3 linked regions of the Oryzias latipes genome follow. The protein of the gene in region 1 purifies or fractionates together with the protein of each later gene. This does not show direct contact. Links are inferred from orthologs where the notes say so. Each region holds a gene or a part of one and is shown on either strand. Other genes may lie near its edges.

What was found. The genes of interacting proteins can lie anywhere in the genome.
Region 2: the proteins of aatf (region 1) and ngdn purify together in Homo sapiens (affinity purification with mass spectrometry; 3 studies listed by BioGRID and IntAct, with this or other methods). This does not show direct contact. The link is inferred for Oryzias latipes from reciprocal best matches to the Homo sapiens genes AATF and NGDN.
Region 3: the proteins of aatf (region 1) and nol10 purify together in Homo sapiens (affinity purification with mass spectrometry; 4 studies listed by BioGRID and IntAct, counting the BioPlex papers as one, with this or other methods). This does not show direct contact. The link is inferred for Oryzias latipes from reciprocal best matches to the Homo sapiens genes AATF and NOL10.

The regions. Positions count from the first base shown.
Region 1 is NC_019862.2:23,974,442-23,978,768, reverse strand, and holds aatf (protein AATF), read left to right. Parts: upstream 1-1,395; 5' UTR 1,396-1,470; coding exon 1,471-3,147; 3' UTR 3,148-3,730; downstream 3,731-4,327. Other genes in the region: protein mago nashi homolog, read right to left, coding at 166-256. UniProt on the Homo sapiens protein: Part of the small subunit (SSU) processome, first precursor of the small eukaryotic ribosomal subunit.
Region 2 is NC_019878.2:12,329,527-12,333,803, reverse strand, and holds ngdn (neuroguidin), read right to left. Parts: upstream 2,860-4,277; 5' UTR 2,814-2,859; coding exon 2,793-2,813; intron 2,540-2,792; coding exon 2,480-2,539; intron 2,356-2,479; coding exon 2,284-2,355; intron 2,162-2,283; coding exon 2,024-2,161; intron 1,940-2,023; coding exon 1,855-1,939; intron 1,780-1,854; coding exon 1,727-1,779; intron 1,652-1,726; coding exon 1,537-1,651; intron 1,462-1,536; coding exon 1,287-1,461; intron 1,127-1,286; coding exon 973-1,126; intron 904-972; coding exon 840-903; intron 762-839; coding exon 742-761; 3' UTR 629-741; downstream 1-628. Other genes in the region: CCAAT/enhancer-binding protein beta, read left to right, coding at 3,610-3,681. UniProt on the Homo sapiens protein: Part of the small subunit (SSU) processome, first precursor of the small eukaryotic ribosomal subunit.
Region 3 is NC_019880.2:20,041,536-20,045,943, forward strand, and holds the start of nol10 (nucleolar protein 10), read right to left. Parts: upstream 2,929-4,408; 5' UTR 2,793-2,928; coding exon 2,727-2,792; intron 2,377-2,726; coding exon 2,331-2,376; intron 2,258-2,330; coding exon 2,159-2,257; intron 1-2,158.

The DNA.
Region 1 (4,327 bases):
AGCGAAAGGGAGGGTTTTAGGCGGGGTATAAGGTTTTACTCCTTCTTCGACGAAAGATTAGTGTTAATTTTCAGTTTTAAGTTTAGACAAATATGGCGCTAACACCAACGCGGCCCGACGTAGCTTAGCCGCGTTAGCCGGAGCTAACCGCCGAACAGGACTCACCGTCAGGCCGAAACTCAAATTCCAAAAACTCGTGTCCAAACTTCCCCTTGTGCCCGACGTAATACCTCAGATAAAAATCACTTGTAGACATGTTTGCTCCTAAAATGACTCTGCGGGTCAACTCAGAATATCAAACCAAGTAGCTGGAGAAGCCCCGAGTCGCCGAGCATTTCACGCATGCGCACTCGAGTCGAGACCACAGATCTTTTTACACCTCAAACTTTGTCTTCCAGGCGTAAACAAGATTCCCGCTGAGATCTGCAACAGCGACTTTGGAAAGTTTTTATTCATAGATGGCCAGAGGAATGAACAATTAACATTTTCTTGTGGAACATCCTGTGGCAACGTTACATGAGTTTAGCACAATTAACAGCTATGTGACAGATAAGCCTTGGCTATCAAAAGTCCACCTGAAATATAAACACAAAGTACATCTCAGTTTACTGTAAACGAACACTTGCAGTACCTTATCAGAATTAAGCAAAAAAGAAAAAAGAAAAAAATATCTTCCAAAAGTAATTATTTAGCACTGAAGAATCTGGTGAATAAAAAAAGCCCGCACCAGGAATGTTTTAAAACTATATTTTGAGAACATCTAATTAATAAAATAATCAGCTCCATAGACTCCACAGCTGCAGCAAATTCCTCCTCATATTGCATGTCTCTTTGATTTTTTTCTGCCGGTCTGCTTTACTGACAAGCAAATCTGCTTTTCAGCACAAAAAATTCTTAAGTATTTCCTAAAGATGTCAATTTAAATTAATTTAAAATAATGAAAAACAAATAACGAAATTTTAAAAAAGTAAAAAAAAAAGATTTTAAAAAGTTGTAATTAATTTGAAAATATCTAATGGTCTACTGTAATCTTGAAAATAAAACTCTCCTGATTCTTTAACAAAACATTTTTATGTTTTTTTTTAATTAGGCCATGAAAACCTCAAATTTCTTTGATCTTACTTTTCAAATTGAAGTGTTACATTTACTTAATTTCTTGCAGCACAGAACAGAAAACGTGTGAAAACTGTCATAGAAAGGAACAAAATAACGTATTTGGGGTTTTTTTTAATTAAAATTTATTTATTAAGTTACAAGCTTGCTACTATCTATTTAAATAGAAGCGCACAGTTTGTTGTCTGGCTTCAACGTGGCTCCAGTCCAAGTTTTTCTTAGGGGAAAAAACGTAATGAAACAAACACGCGAGTGTTTCTGCCTTGCAGACAGCGTTCAGGGATAATCCAAATACCTGTCGCGTGTTGCCTGCGTCACCGTCGTGCTGTCGCCTCAGTGCTGCGTGCATGGCTCGGAATGGCGGGTTCTTTTTCACAAGCGCTTGAAGAACTTCTGAACCCTGAGCCCACATTCATAGATCCGGAGGATCACGACGTTCAGGAGTCCACGCGAGCGCGCGTAATCCACAGACCTAACGATGAAGAGGAGAAGGACGAAGACGAACAACACGCCACGAGCGCGCTGCGGATACGCAACTGCGATCCGCAGTCTGACACGCGGTACAAGGGGAGGGTGGTGACCCGGAGACAGCTGCTGGATGAAGAGGAGGAAGAGGATGACACCGAGGAGGAGGAAGCTGATCAAAAATGTAACAAACCATACTTGAAAGAGAAGAAGGTGAAGTTGGAGGGGGAAGAAGAAATCAGCGAAAAAGATGAAGATGAGAGTGAAGAAGAAGAGGAAGATATGGAGGAGGAGGAAGATGACGATCATTGTGAGGAAGAGGAGGAAATTCAGGATGGTGATTCCCTGCAGGATTCTGATAATGCCTCCTTGATGAAGACCTCTGACTCCTTAATGGACTATCATCGTCTGGCGGAGGGCGTGGAGGATCTGGAAGTTAGCGAGGAAGATGACGATGAGGAGGAGAGTGGAGAGTCTGGAGAAAGTGATGAAGAAGATGAATCTGTTGAGGAAGAGGAGGGTGTGCACACATTTTCTCAGGACAAAGTGGACGGGGAGGTGGAGAAGGGGATGGCTGTGAGGAACCAGCTGGCTCTGTGGGACCAGTTCCTTGAGGCCCGGATCAAGATCCAGAAGGCTCTGGTGTCGGCTAACCAGCTGCCGCAGCCTCACACCTTCCCAGAGTTCCAGAAGAGGGGCGGCACAGAGCTGCAGGGGGTGCTGGGAAACACCCACAAGGCTTTGAAGGCCCTCCAGAGGTCCCTGCTGGAGCTGCAGGACCTGCTGCTGGAGCAAAACCCAGACACGAAGAGCATAGCGGGTCACAGTGAAGATGAAGAGCTTGTCAGTGATGAAGAGCATGCAGAGCGGCGAGCGCCGAAGCGAAAGCTGGAGATGGCGGACTACCCAGCCCTCATGGCCAAACGCTTCTCCTCCTTTGAGTCTTTCCGCACCGCCACGCTGCAGAAGTGGGACGACAGAACCAGGCTGGCGGGGGGCCGCGGCGGCGGGGGCTTCGGGGCCTTTGACAGGAGTGTTGTGACCCAGGTGCAGCAGGTGCTGGAGGACAAGGAGAGGCTGGTGCAGCGTACCCAGATGCAGCGCTCCGAGTACAGAGTTCTGGGGAGAACGGAGAAGCGCCTGGACACATGTGAGAACACAGGCGAGCAGGAGGGGCTGCCGGCCTCCCTCAAACCCAACAGCCACCTCAAACATCTAGACGAGGACATCTTCGACGACGACGACTTCTACCACCAGCTCCTGAGGGAGCTGATCGAGCGCAAGACCAGCGCGACGGATTCGAACGAGCAGCTGGCCACGGGCCGGCAGTGGCTGGCCATCCAGAAGCTGCGCAGCAAGATGAAGAGGAAGGTGGACACCAGAGCCAGCAAGGGCCGCAAGATCCGCTTCCACGTCCACTCCAAGCTGCTCAACTTCATGGCGCCGATGGACAACAGCTCCATGAGTGACGAGGCGCGCAGCGAGCTTTTCCGCAGCCTGTTTGGACAGAGCACCCTCCTGAGGCCGGAGTGTAATCTATTACTGCAGGACAGCAAAGTAAAGGAGTAGTTTTTTCAGTCACTGTCAAAATCTGAGGGTGGAAATCTGTAATCTGGTTTGAAATGTAATCTTGTTTCCTTTAATAAAATTTGACAAAAGTGCATAGGTTTCTGCTCTGCTAGTGGGAGGGAGGAATAAGTCAGTGGAAAAGTTTGAAAAAAAGTACTGAAGCTCAAACTTTATTCAACTCATAAACAAACAGTTCAAGGACAGCAGTACAGTGGCCCAGAAGGGTCACAACTCTTTAGATTTTGCAACACAGCATAAAATAGCACACTACAATTCATCACAACACCAAACAAATTAACTCACAACACAAACCAATAACTTACGACACTTGAACTCACAACACAACAGTTGAACTCAAAATGGAAGTTAAATTCAACAGAAGTTGCTGTGCTTTTATTCTGAAATTCCACTGGGCTAAAACATTGGTGGTCACGTCTCCATTCAGGGTTCATAAACTCGTTCAAAGATTCTCCTGCAGTTTCTCTGAAGCTGAGATTTGTCTGTATGTCAGCCGCTTCCTTCCGTGTGTTTCTGTGACCCACTTTGCAGGCCCTCTCAATAATCCGAGAGGGGAAAATAAAAAAATAAATAAAATTAGGGGACCTTTTTTATTATTAGCATTGTCGCTATGAAAATAAGAAAAATGTCAGTTTGTTAAAGTTTGACAAAGATTCACAGATTCGGACTTCCGGCCATCAAAACTCTTCTGAACAATTTTATCAAAAGGCAAAAAAAAAGATTTTTCTTTAGAAATGCATTTGTAGTTCACTTTCAGAGTTAATACAAAATGATTGACATACTTCCATTTGCATTTAAACGTTTATCAGAAGAGTTACTGAGGCCGGAAATCTGTAAATATCTTTCAAACTTTAACAAACTGATAGTTTTCTTATTTTCACAGTGACAAATTGTTTTGTGTTGTGAGTTATTGTGTTGTGTTGTGAGTTAAAGTGTTGTGTTGTGAGTAATTGTGTTGTAAGTTATTGTTTCGTATTATGAGTTATTGTTTCGTGTCGTTGTGTTGTGTGTTATTGTATTGTGAGTTATTGTTTCGTATTATGAGTTATTGTTTCGTGTCGCTGTGTTGTGTGTTTTTGTGTTGTGAGTTATTGTTTCGTATTATGAGTTATTGTTCCGTATTGTGAGTTTTTGTTTCATGTTGTGAGTTGTTGTGTTGTGA
Region 2 (4,277 bases), on another chromosome or scaffold:
CTGTTAGTGAAAGAAGAAACGGGATGAAGGCACACCAAAGACAATAGAAATGATCACATCTGACTTTGCTCTCTTTCATTTTTTAATTTAAATTAATCTGCTGCAACAGGGGTAATAAGACCCCCCCCCCCCCCCCCCGGGTCTTATTTGACACATGGTGTATTTTATTTTGAAAGAACCTTTTATTTAAGGTACCACTTTCAAAATTTGAATTGTTTTAACTATGAAACCATAAAACTTATTCAATTAATGCCAATATTTAACAGCAACTTTTTTTTTTATAAATGAATGGCCACAAGGCTTTTGCAGCTCTCTGGGTTTTGGTTGGTAAGAAACTGGATCAAACAGCTCTTACTAGTGTTACTGGTTGCAGACCCCTGCTGTAACCCATTTGGAAAAGATATTGCCCAATTTCTGCTCAAATTTTACCTTGAAAGGTGTTTCATCACAAATGCAAAAATGATCGATTTTTAGTTATTTTCCCCTTCAATAATCTAACTCAACATCATTTTGTTTCCCTTACAAAGATCTGGTATGCTTTGCCTGTGGGGCAATGAACACACTGAGCGAGGTGATGTTAGTAAACATTACTGCCCTCTAGTGGTGATGAAAACACATGACATACAAATAAAACTTCAAACGTTTATTTCACGATTCACTATGAAAAGCTGGTTTAAATTGATCCAGTCAAAGAATTGGAAGCTGTTATGAAAAGTCCTTGGTATTGAGACATCGCGGCGTCTATCTGTGCTTCTTGAAGGCTGCAGAAGAGAAAATTGTACATTTTAATTCCATAAGGAAGGCGTAATTGTGTCTTTTTTTTTTTATTAGACTTTCACCTTTTCTTTTAGTTTTCTTCTTCATGAGCTTCTTCTTTTTCTTTGGTCGCGAGCCGTCCCCATCCTAAGGAACAAACAAAAAAGTATAGTAAGTTTGGGTATAAGTTGGGAGGGGGGTGTATGAAGACCGCACCTGTCCGCCTTCACCGCCAGTCAAAGCCGTGATGTCTCCAAAGTGTGTGATCCTGCTCAGCTGGCCGGACATTCCCATCATGCCTCTCTTCTTGGAATTCCTATGACTCTTTGGCATGGTGAGGCGCACCATCATGGACTCTTCATAATTTTTCCTGTGCAGGACAAAGTATTTAGAAAGCTTCCAAAAAAAACTGGAGCTTACCCTTTAATGCTACACACCTAACAAGCTTTTCAATTATTATTAAAGGAGACAAGCTCGTGAAAACAGTTGTAGTTATGTGTCAGGATTGGATAAAGCAAACACTTGGGTACCTGTGGAGCTCCTCGTGGCTCTGCCGTTCGCTCTGGAAGTCGCGCTTCTCCCTGATCTCCTCTGGAGCGTCGCTGTACTGCTGCCGGAGCTCCTGGATCACAGAGCTCCTGAGGGCAGCTCGCCGCTGCCGCTCCATCTGGGCCTTCTTCTTGTCTGCCTCCGTCAAGTCACCGTCTACAAGAAGAAAGCATTCTTACGGCAAACCTAAACACACATTTAAACATTGTCACCGGGAGCAGCGGGTCTTACCATAATGCATCGGGGCAATCTTTGGAGGAACATATTTCTTGCTATGGGTGGCTGGTTTCTTCGCCGAAGATGCTTTGTCTTCATCTTCATCGTCAGAGTCCTCAGATTCACTTAACTAAATAAAACAATTAAAAATATGTTGTTTTTCATACAAAAAAAAAGTAGACAGTCCTGATTATGTGATATTTACCTTGCTTATGAGATTCTCAGGGTTGGGGCGCAGTTGCAACGGGTCATTTACCGCTAAAACCACCCAAAAATACGGCATTTTAATCAACCAACAACAAAGTCCACAAGCAGAATTATGTTAAAGTTTACCTAAACTGCCCGTCACGGCTGTGCGCACCAGTTTATCAATCTGGTATTTCAGCTTATGATCCAGAGGTCGCATCTTCTCCAGCACCTTCACAGAGAAAAGAAACAGATCCGATGCATGATGGGCTCTGTCCCTGACGACCAACACGAAGGAATCCTCAGTTCATCTTACTGTTCTGACTGTGACAATTCTGTCCAAGGCTTCACTTTCTTTGATTTTGCCTCCTGCTGTCTTGATGCTGATCAGGTGAGTCAGGTCCTGGAGGTAGAAGAGCATCAGCTGGTAGCGAAGGTCCAGGAAAGATAAACCCTGCACAGGGAGACAATACACAAAAAAAGTTTTCTTCACAACTTTAGTAAAACATTAAAAAAAAGTATTCTGGTTACTAAGAAAAGCTGATCATTAAAGAGGTTTGAAATATCCACACTCACCTTTGAGGTCTTAAACGCACCATCTTTGACTTTGGTGAGCAGTTCACGTACATATCTGGTGACAGAGGCTACCTAAAATAAAAGACTTTAAGTAAACTAAATGCATTCGGAATGAATAAAGTTATTAATAAACAAATTTATAGTCCTTTACAACAAAACACAAAACTACGAGAAATGTAAGGCAAATAAAAGATACCTGCTCCGTGAGAGTGTTCAGCAACTCGACTGCTTTAGGTAAATCTCTTTCGATTAAATCCTGTAAGAAAACGTATTTATCTGTCAGAACAAATTAAGTGTTTGTTTTTGTCTATAACCCACAAAACAAATCAATGCTAGCTGAGTAGCTTTAGCTAACTCCGGTTTGTAAACATCCCCAGTATTATTCCGTTTGATTTATGTTCCGTATGGGTATTTACAAAAAAATTATATATGTTACATACAAAAACGCCAACGTGTCTGCCAAGACAACTTAAATAATTATAAAAGAAAAACGTTTCAGTTGAACTCACGTTGTCTACCGTGGCAGCCATTTTAATTCCAGATAACTACGGAAACCAGTGTAGGACAAACTTAAAATTTTCGCGCGGAGAGTATTCCTAGCTTGTACTAGTAGATATAAATATCTCAAGCGAATATTCCTTTTGTACATTTGTTTAACAAACAATAAAACAATAATAGTGCAGTGTATTCAAAAGAATAAAAATATTTTTTTTAAATTTTGAAACCAATTCCTCTCTGCTATAAGTAGTTAACTTAAGTGTACCAGGAGTACAGTATGTCTATACTTAAAGTGAAGCAGTGTTTCTAAAGTTTACTTTTTAGATATTTTAAACTTAAAATGCTCCAATTTAGTCAGAATAAGTATTCAGTTAGTATTCTTACAACACTACTCAAAAGTATACTTGTACTCAAGTATACTTCATCAAATAAACTCCATGTGTATTCCTTTTTTCTAAGGGTCAACTATCTTTCTTTTTTTGAAATCACAATAAAAAAAAATCTTAAAACAAAAATGAAAAAGAATTTTTCCATCAATAGGAATTTAATTGAAGGGCATGTTGAATTTGCAAAAACGCCTTAAATGAAATCCTCTGATAGTGATCAGAGGAGCAGTCAGAGTTGGGAGCAAGGTTGTGACAGTTAGGTTTAAGCATTTCAACAGTTGTGATCCTGATCTTAGAAGGTCAGGAAGAGCTGAAAGTCATGACTACACCATCCTAATAAGGATGGCTGCTCAGGCTTTCGTGTGTTTGTGAGAAAGAGAGACAGAGAGGAAGTGATGGTGTGATAATCAGAGGGGTACCTGTCTATCTGTCTGTCAGTCCCATGTCCTTCTTGTCATTTTCAGTCAGAGCTTCTTCAGAGAACACAGGAGACTCTTTGGAGCAAAAAGCCATGGTGAGTCACATTTGAATCCTCCTAGAATTCAATTAAAGGAGTCCGAACCTAAGTGTAATTTATTGATTTCATTGATTTTTACTCAAACCAGGATGTTATCGATTTCATGTTTTTTAATAGAGGTGTAACCAATCATTTCGACAACGATTCGATTCATATCATAATTTGTGGTTGATGATAGGATTCATAGTCGGTTCATTTTGAACAATCCAATTTGATCTGATTCACTGATCCAAAACTTCAACCTCAGAGATAAATACCTGCTACTGAACAGTGCAGGGGAAGTTTCCCAGATTCCTTGTATGTCTTGCAAGATAATTAAGTGTAAATTAAATATGTGTACAAAAAAACATGTGAACAAGAATCAATGACAAATCCATTCACATTTTAGTTTCCCAAAGTTCAGTCCACTGTTGTTTTTCCACATAAAAAAATACAAACATTAATAGAACTTTTTAGCACACTGTATGGTCACGTCTTTGCTAAATTCAAAGTGTTCATTATGATTTATTATAAACTCTATTGAGGCGACAATTGTTGTAATATTGGGCTATATAAATCAAATTGAATTGGAGTGTTTCACCACATTGGACTGG
Region 3 (4,408 bases), on another chromosome or scaffold:
TCACGCAGCAGGCTGTCGTCACGCAGCAGCCTGAGGTCACGCAGCAGGCTGTCGTCACGCAGCAGGCTGTCGTCACGCAGCAGGCTGTCGTCACGCAGCAGTCTGTCGTCACGCAGCAGCCTGAGGTCACGCAGCAGGCTGTCGTCACGCAGCAGTCTGTCGTCACGCAGCAGGTCTGTCGTCACGCAGCAGGTCTGTCGTCACGCAGCAGGCTGTCGTCACGCAGCAGGCTGTCGTCACGCAGCAGTCTGTCGTCACGCAGCAGTCTGTCGTCACGCAGCAGGCTGTCGTCACGCAGCAGTCTGTCGTCACGCAGCAGTCTGTCGTCATGCAGCAGGCTGTCGTCACGCAGCAGGCTGTCGTCACGCAGCAGTCTGAGGTCACGCAGCAGCCTGAGGTCATGCAGCAGTCTGTCGTCACGCAGCAGTCTGAGGTCACGCAGCAGTGTGAGGTCATGCAGCAGGCTGTCGTCACGCAGCAGCCTGAGGTCACGCAGCAGGCTGTCGTCACGCAGCAGTCTGTCGTCACGCAGCAGTCTGTCGTCACGCAGCAGTCTGTCGTCACGCAGCAGTCTGTCGTCACGCAGCAGTCTGTCGTCACGCAGCAGTCTGTCGTCACGCAGCAGTCTATCGTCACGCAGCAGTCTGTCGTCACGCAGCAGGCTGTCGTCACGCAGCAGGCTGTCGTCACGCAGCAGGCTGTCGTCACGCAGCAGTCTGTCGTCACGCAGCAGCCTGAGGTCACGCAGCAGTCTGTCGTCACGCAGCAGGCTGTCGTCACGCAGCAGGCTGTCGTCACGCAGCAGTCTGTCGTCACGCAGCAGTCTGTCGTCACGCAGCAGCCTGAGGTCACGCAGCAGGCTGTCGTCACGCAGCAATCTGTCGTCACGCAGCAGTCTGAGGTCATGCAGCAGCCTGAGGTCATGCAGCAGTCTGTCGTCACGCAGCAGTCTGTCGACACGCAGCAGCCTGAGGTCACGCAGCAGTCTGTCGTCACGCAGCAGTCTGTCGTCACGCAGCAGGCTGTCGTCACGCAGCAGGCTGTCGTCACGCAGCAGTCTGTCGTCACGCAGCAGGCTGTCGTGACGCAGCAGGCTGTCGTCACGCAGCAGGCTGTCGTCACGCAGCAGGCTGTCGTCACGCAGCAGGCTGTCGTCACGCAGCAGTCTGTCGTCACGCAGCAGCCTGAGGTCACGCAGCAGGCTGTCGTCACGCAGCAGTCTGTCGTCACGCAGCAGTCTGTCGTCACGCAGCAGTCTGTCGTCACGCAGCAGTCTGTCGTCACGCAGCAGGCTGTCGTCACGCAGCAGGCTGTCGTCACGCAGCAGGCTGTCGTCACGCAGCAGTCTGTCGTCACGCAGCAGGCTGTCGTCACGCAGCAGTCTGTCGTCACGCAGCAGTCTGTCGTCACGCAGCAGGCTGTCGTCACGCAGCAGGCTGTCGTCACGCAGCAGGCTGTTGTCACGCAGCAGGCTGTCGTCACGCAGCAGTCTGTCGTCACGCAGCAGGCTGTCGTCACGCAGCAGGCTGTCGTCACCCAGCAGTCTGTCGTCACGCAGCAGTCTGTCGTCACGCAGCAGTCTGTCGTCACGCAGCAGGCTGTCGTCACGCAGCAGGCTGTCGTCACGCAGCAGTCTGTCGTCACGCAGCAGGCTGTCGTCACGCAGCAGGCTGTCGTCACGCAGCAGTCTGTCGTCACGCAGCAGTCTGAGGTCACGCAGCAGTCTGAGGTCACGCAGCAGTCTGTCGTCACGCAGCAGGCTGTCGTCACGCAGCAGGCTGTCGTCACGCAGCAGTCTGTCGTCACGCAGCAGGCTGTCGTCACGCAGCAGGCTGTCGTCACGCAGCAGTCTGTCGTCACGCAGCAGTCTGTCGTCACGCAGCAGTCTGAGGTCACGCAGCAGTCTGTCGTCACGCAGCAGTCTGAGGTCACGCAGCAGCCTGAGGTCATGCAGCAGCCTGAGGTCATGCAGCAGTCTGTCGTCATGCAGCAGTCTGAGGTCATGCAGCAGTCTGAGGTCATGCAGCAGTCTGTCGTCATGCAGCAGTCTGTCGTCATGCAGCAGCCTGAGGTCATGCAGCAGTCTGTCTTCATGCAGCAGTCTGTCGTCATGCAGCAGCCTGATGTCATGCAGCAGTCTGAGGTCATGCAGCCTTACCGGTTGCCAAAATGTATTGACCGTCCCTGGAGACTTTGATGGAGGTGCAGACGGTGGGCATCTCAAAGTCCTGGATGAGCTCAATCCTTCGCTGCACATCTGGATGTGGAGCAGAACCGTCTTAGTGATGGCAAACGCTTCAGGAACAGACTATAATTGAAGAGAAACTCACCCACATCCTTCTTCTGCAGCTGCCTCTTTCTCCGGTCTGACAACCACTTCAGAAAGAAAAACACCAATGAACGCAGAGACTCAGACTGCATGGGAGCTGTGAGCTTCTGCTTGACTGAACAATAACACAACGCCAGTCCTCTGTGGTGAAATCCCCAAATAGTGCTTTCTGACAGAAATTAACAAATAAAAAAGCAGCTCTTGGTATTTTTCTTTTTTTTTTTACAATCGTGTCAGGAAGCTCATGATGAGACAAATCCACCATCAGATTCACATGTTCGCACATCAGCGATGTAACGGAGAACGGCCAAACAAACGTCACCCACGTGGCTGAACTAGGCTAGCTGTAAACAAACGACGCTTCGGGAACGAAAAACAGACAAAGCTCACTTCTTACCTCCGGAAGGGACTTTCCGTAGCTTAAATTATAAATCTTTACATCGTTTATGCTGGAAACCTGCATTGTACTTCAAGAAGAAGTCTGTTGTCACTCAATACAGAATTATAACCATGCTTCAACGAAAGCCGAAAGAGAGAGTGTGGCGCTAAAAAAGGTCCGACTAGAAACAGAGTCGTTTGTTCAGTTCCACCTGTCTGTGTGTTGATCAAATGAGAGGGTAGCTTTTATAAACCCTCCCTCCCTAAAACCCCCTATAAAAATAAAAAATACACGCTTTTTTAATTTCTTTTTTATCCTGTTAAATGAAAAAGTTCTAACAGTTTCTTACATTAAAAATATATGGAAGCGTATTACATTAATGTTATATGTACAAAAAGAAAAAAAAACCTCTCCCCCTTTGTGGGTGGTTTCTCCTCCAAGCTCGGGTCCTCTACCAAAGGCCTGGAAATTTGAGGGTCCTGCAGGATCTTAGCTGTTCCTGTTCTGGACTGAGAGGTCTGAGGTCTTTCCAGGTATCTGTTGTAGCCACTCCTCCAGCTTGGGGGTTACTGCCCCTAGTGCTCCAATTACCACAGGCACCACTGTCACATTCACTTTCCAAGCTTTCTCCAGTTTTTCTCTGAGTTCTCCAGTTTCTTATGTTCCTTCTTCCTGATGTTTCCATCGCTTGGCACTGCCACATCCACCACAACGGCTTTCCTCTGCTCTTTATCCACCACTACAATATCTGGTTGGTTCGCCATCACCATCCTATCAGTCTGGATCTGGAAGTCCCACAGGATCTTTGCCCTCTCATTCTCTACCATCTTCGGATGTGTTTCCCATTTTGACCTTGGGGTTTCCAGTCCATACTCTGCACATGTTCCTGCATATAATTCCAGCCACTTGATTGTGGTGCTCCATGTATGCTTTCCCTGTCAGCATCTTACACCCTGCAGTTATGTGCTGGATTGTTTCAGGCGCCTCTTTGCACTGCCTACACCTTGGGTCTTGTCTGGCGTGGTAGATCTACACCTTGGGTCTTGTCTGGTGTGGTAGATCTACACCTTGGGTCTTGTCTGGCGTGGTAGATCTACACCTTGAGCCTTATTTGCTCTGATTCCAGTGGGTCATTAAATGTATAGAAAGCAGATATTCAGACAGTAGCACTGATATTTTAATGGACATTGGACAGACACACAGTTTACTGTCAGCAGAATTCTCTGTTGCATTTATGTGGAGACTGGCACACATAGGAATTACAGAGAAGGAGTTGGCAGATGAAAACGCAAAACTAGCTTCTATGAAGCTTAGTATTGATATACATGTTGCTGTTAGCAAAAAAAAGGTGAAAGGCTTGGTGAAAGACAAAATATTAGACAGACGGCAAAGATGGTGGGGAGGGACAACAAAGGAAGCTGTTATTACAGGAAACAGAGAGTTGATGTGAAGATGGGATACGTTGGTCGTAATAGACTATAGAGCAGAGTTGTGTAATGATAATCTTTTTAAAATGGGAAAACATTTTAATGGTAAATGGGATTTTTGTAATGATGATGAAACAATAGAGCACGTGTTGAAATGTAGGATGCTCTCTGTTCAGAGACGGTTGATGAAGGAACATCTTGAAGGAAAGGAATGAACTGGGAAATTAAAGATATTTATGCAGCACCAGCAGTTCTACGTTTTTGATTTCATTG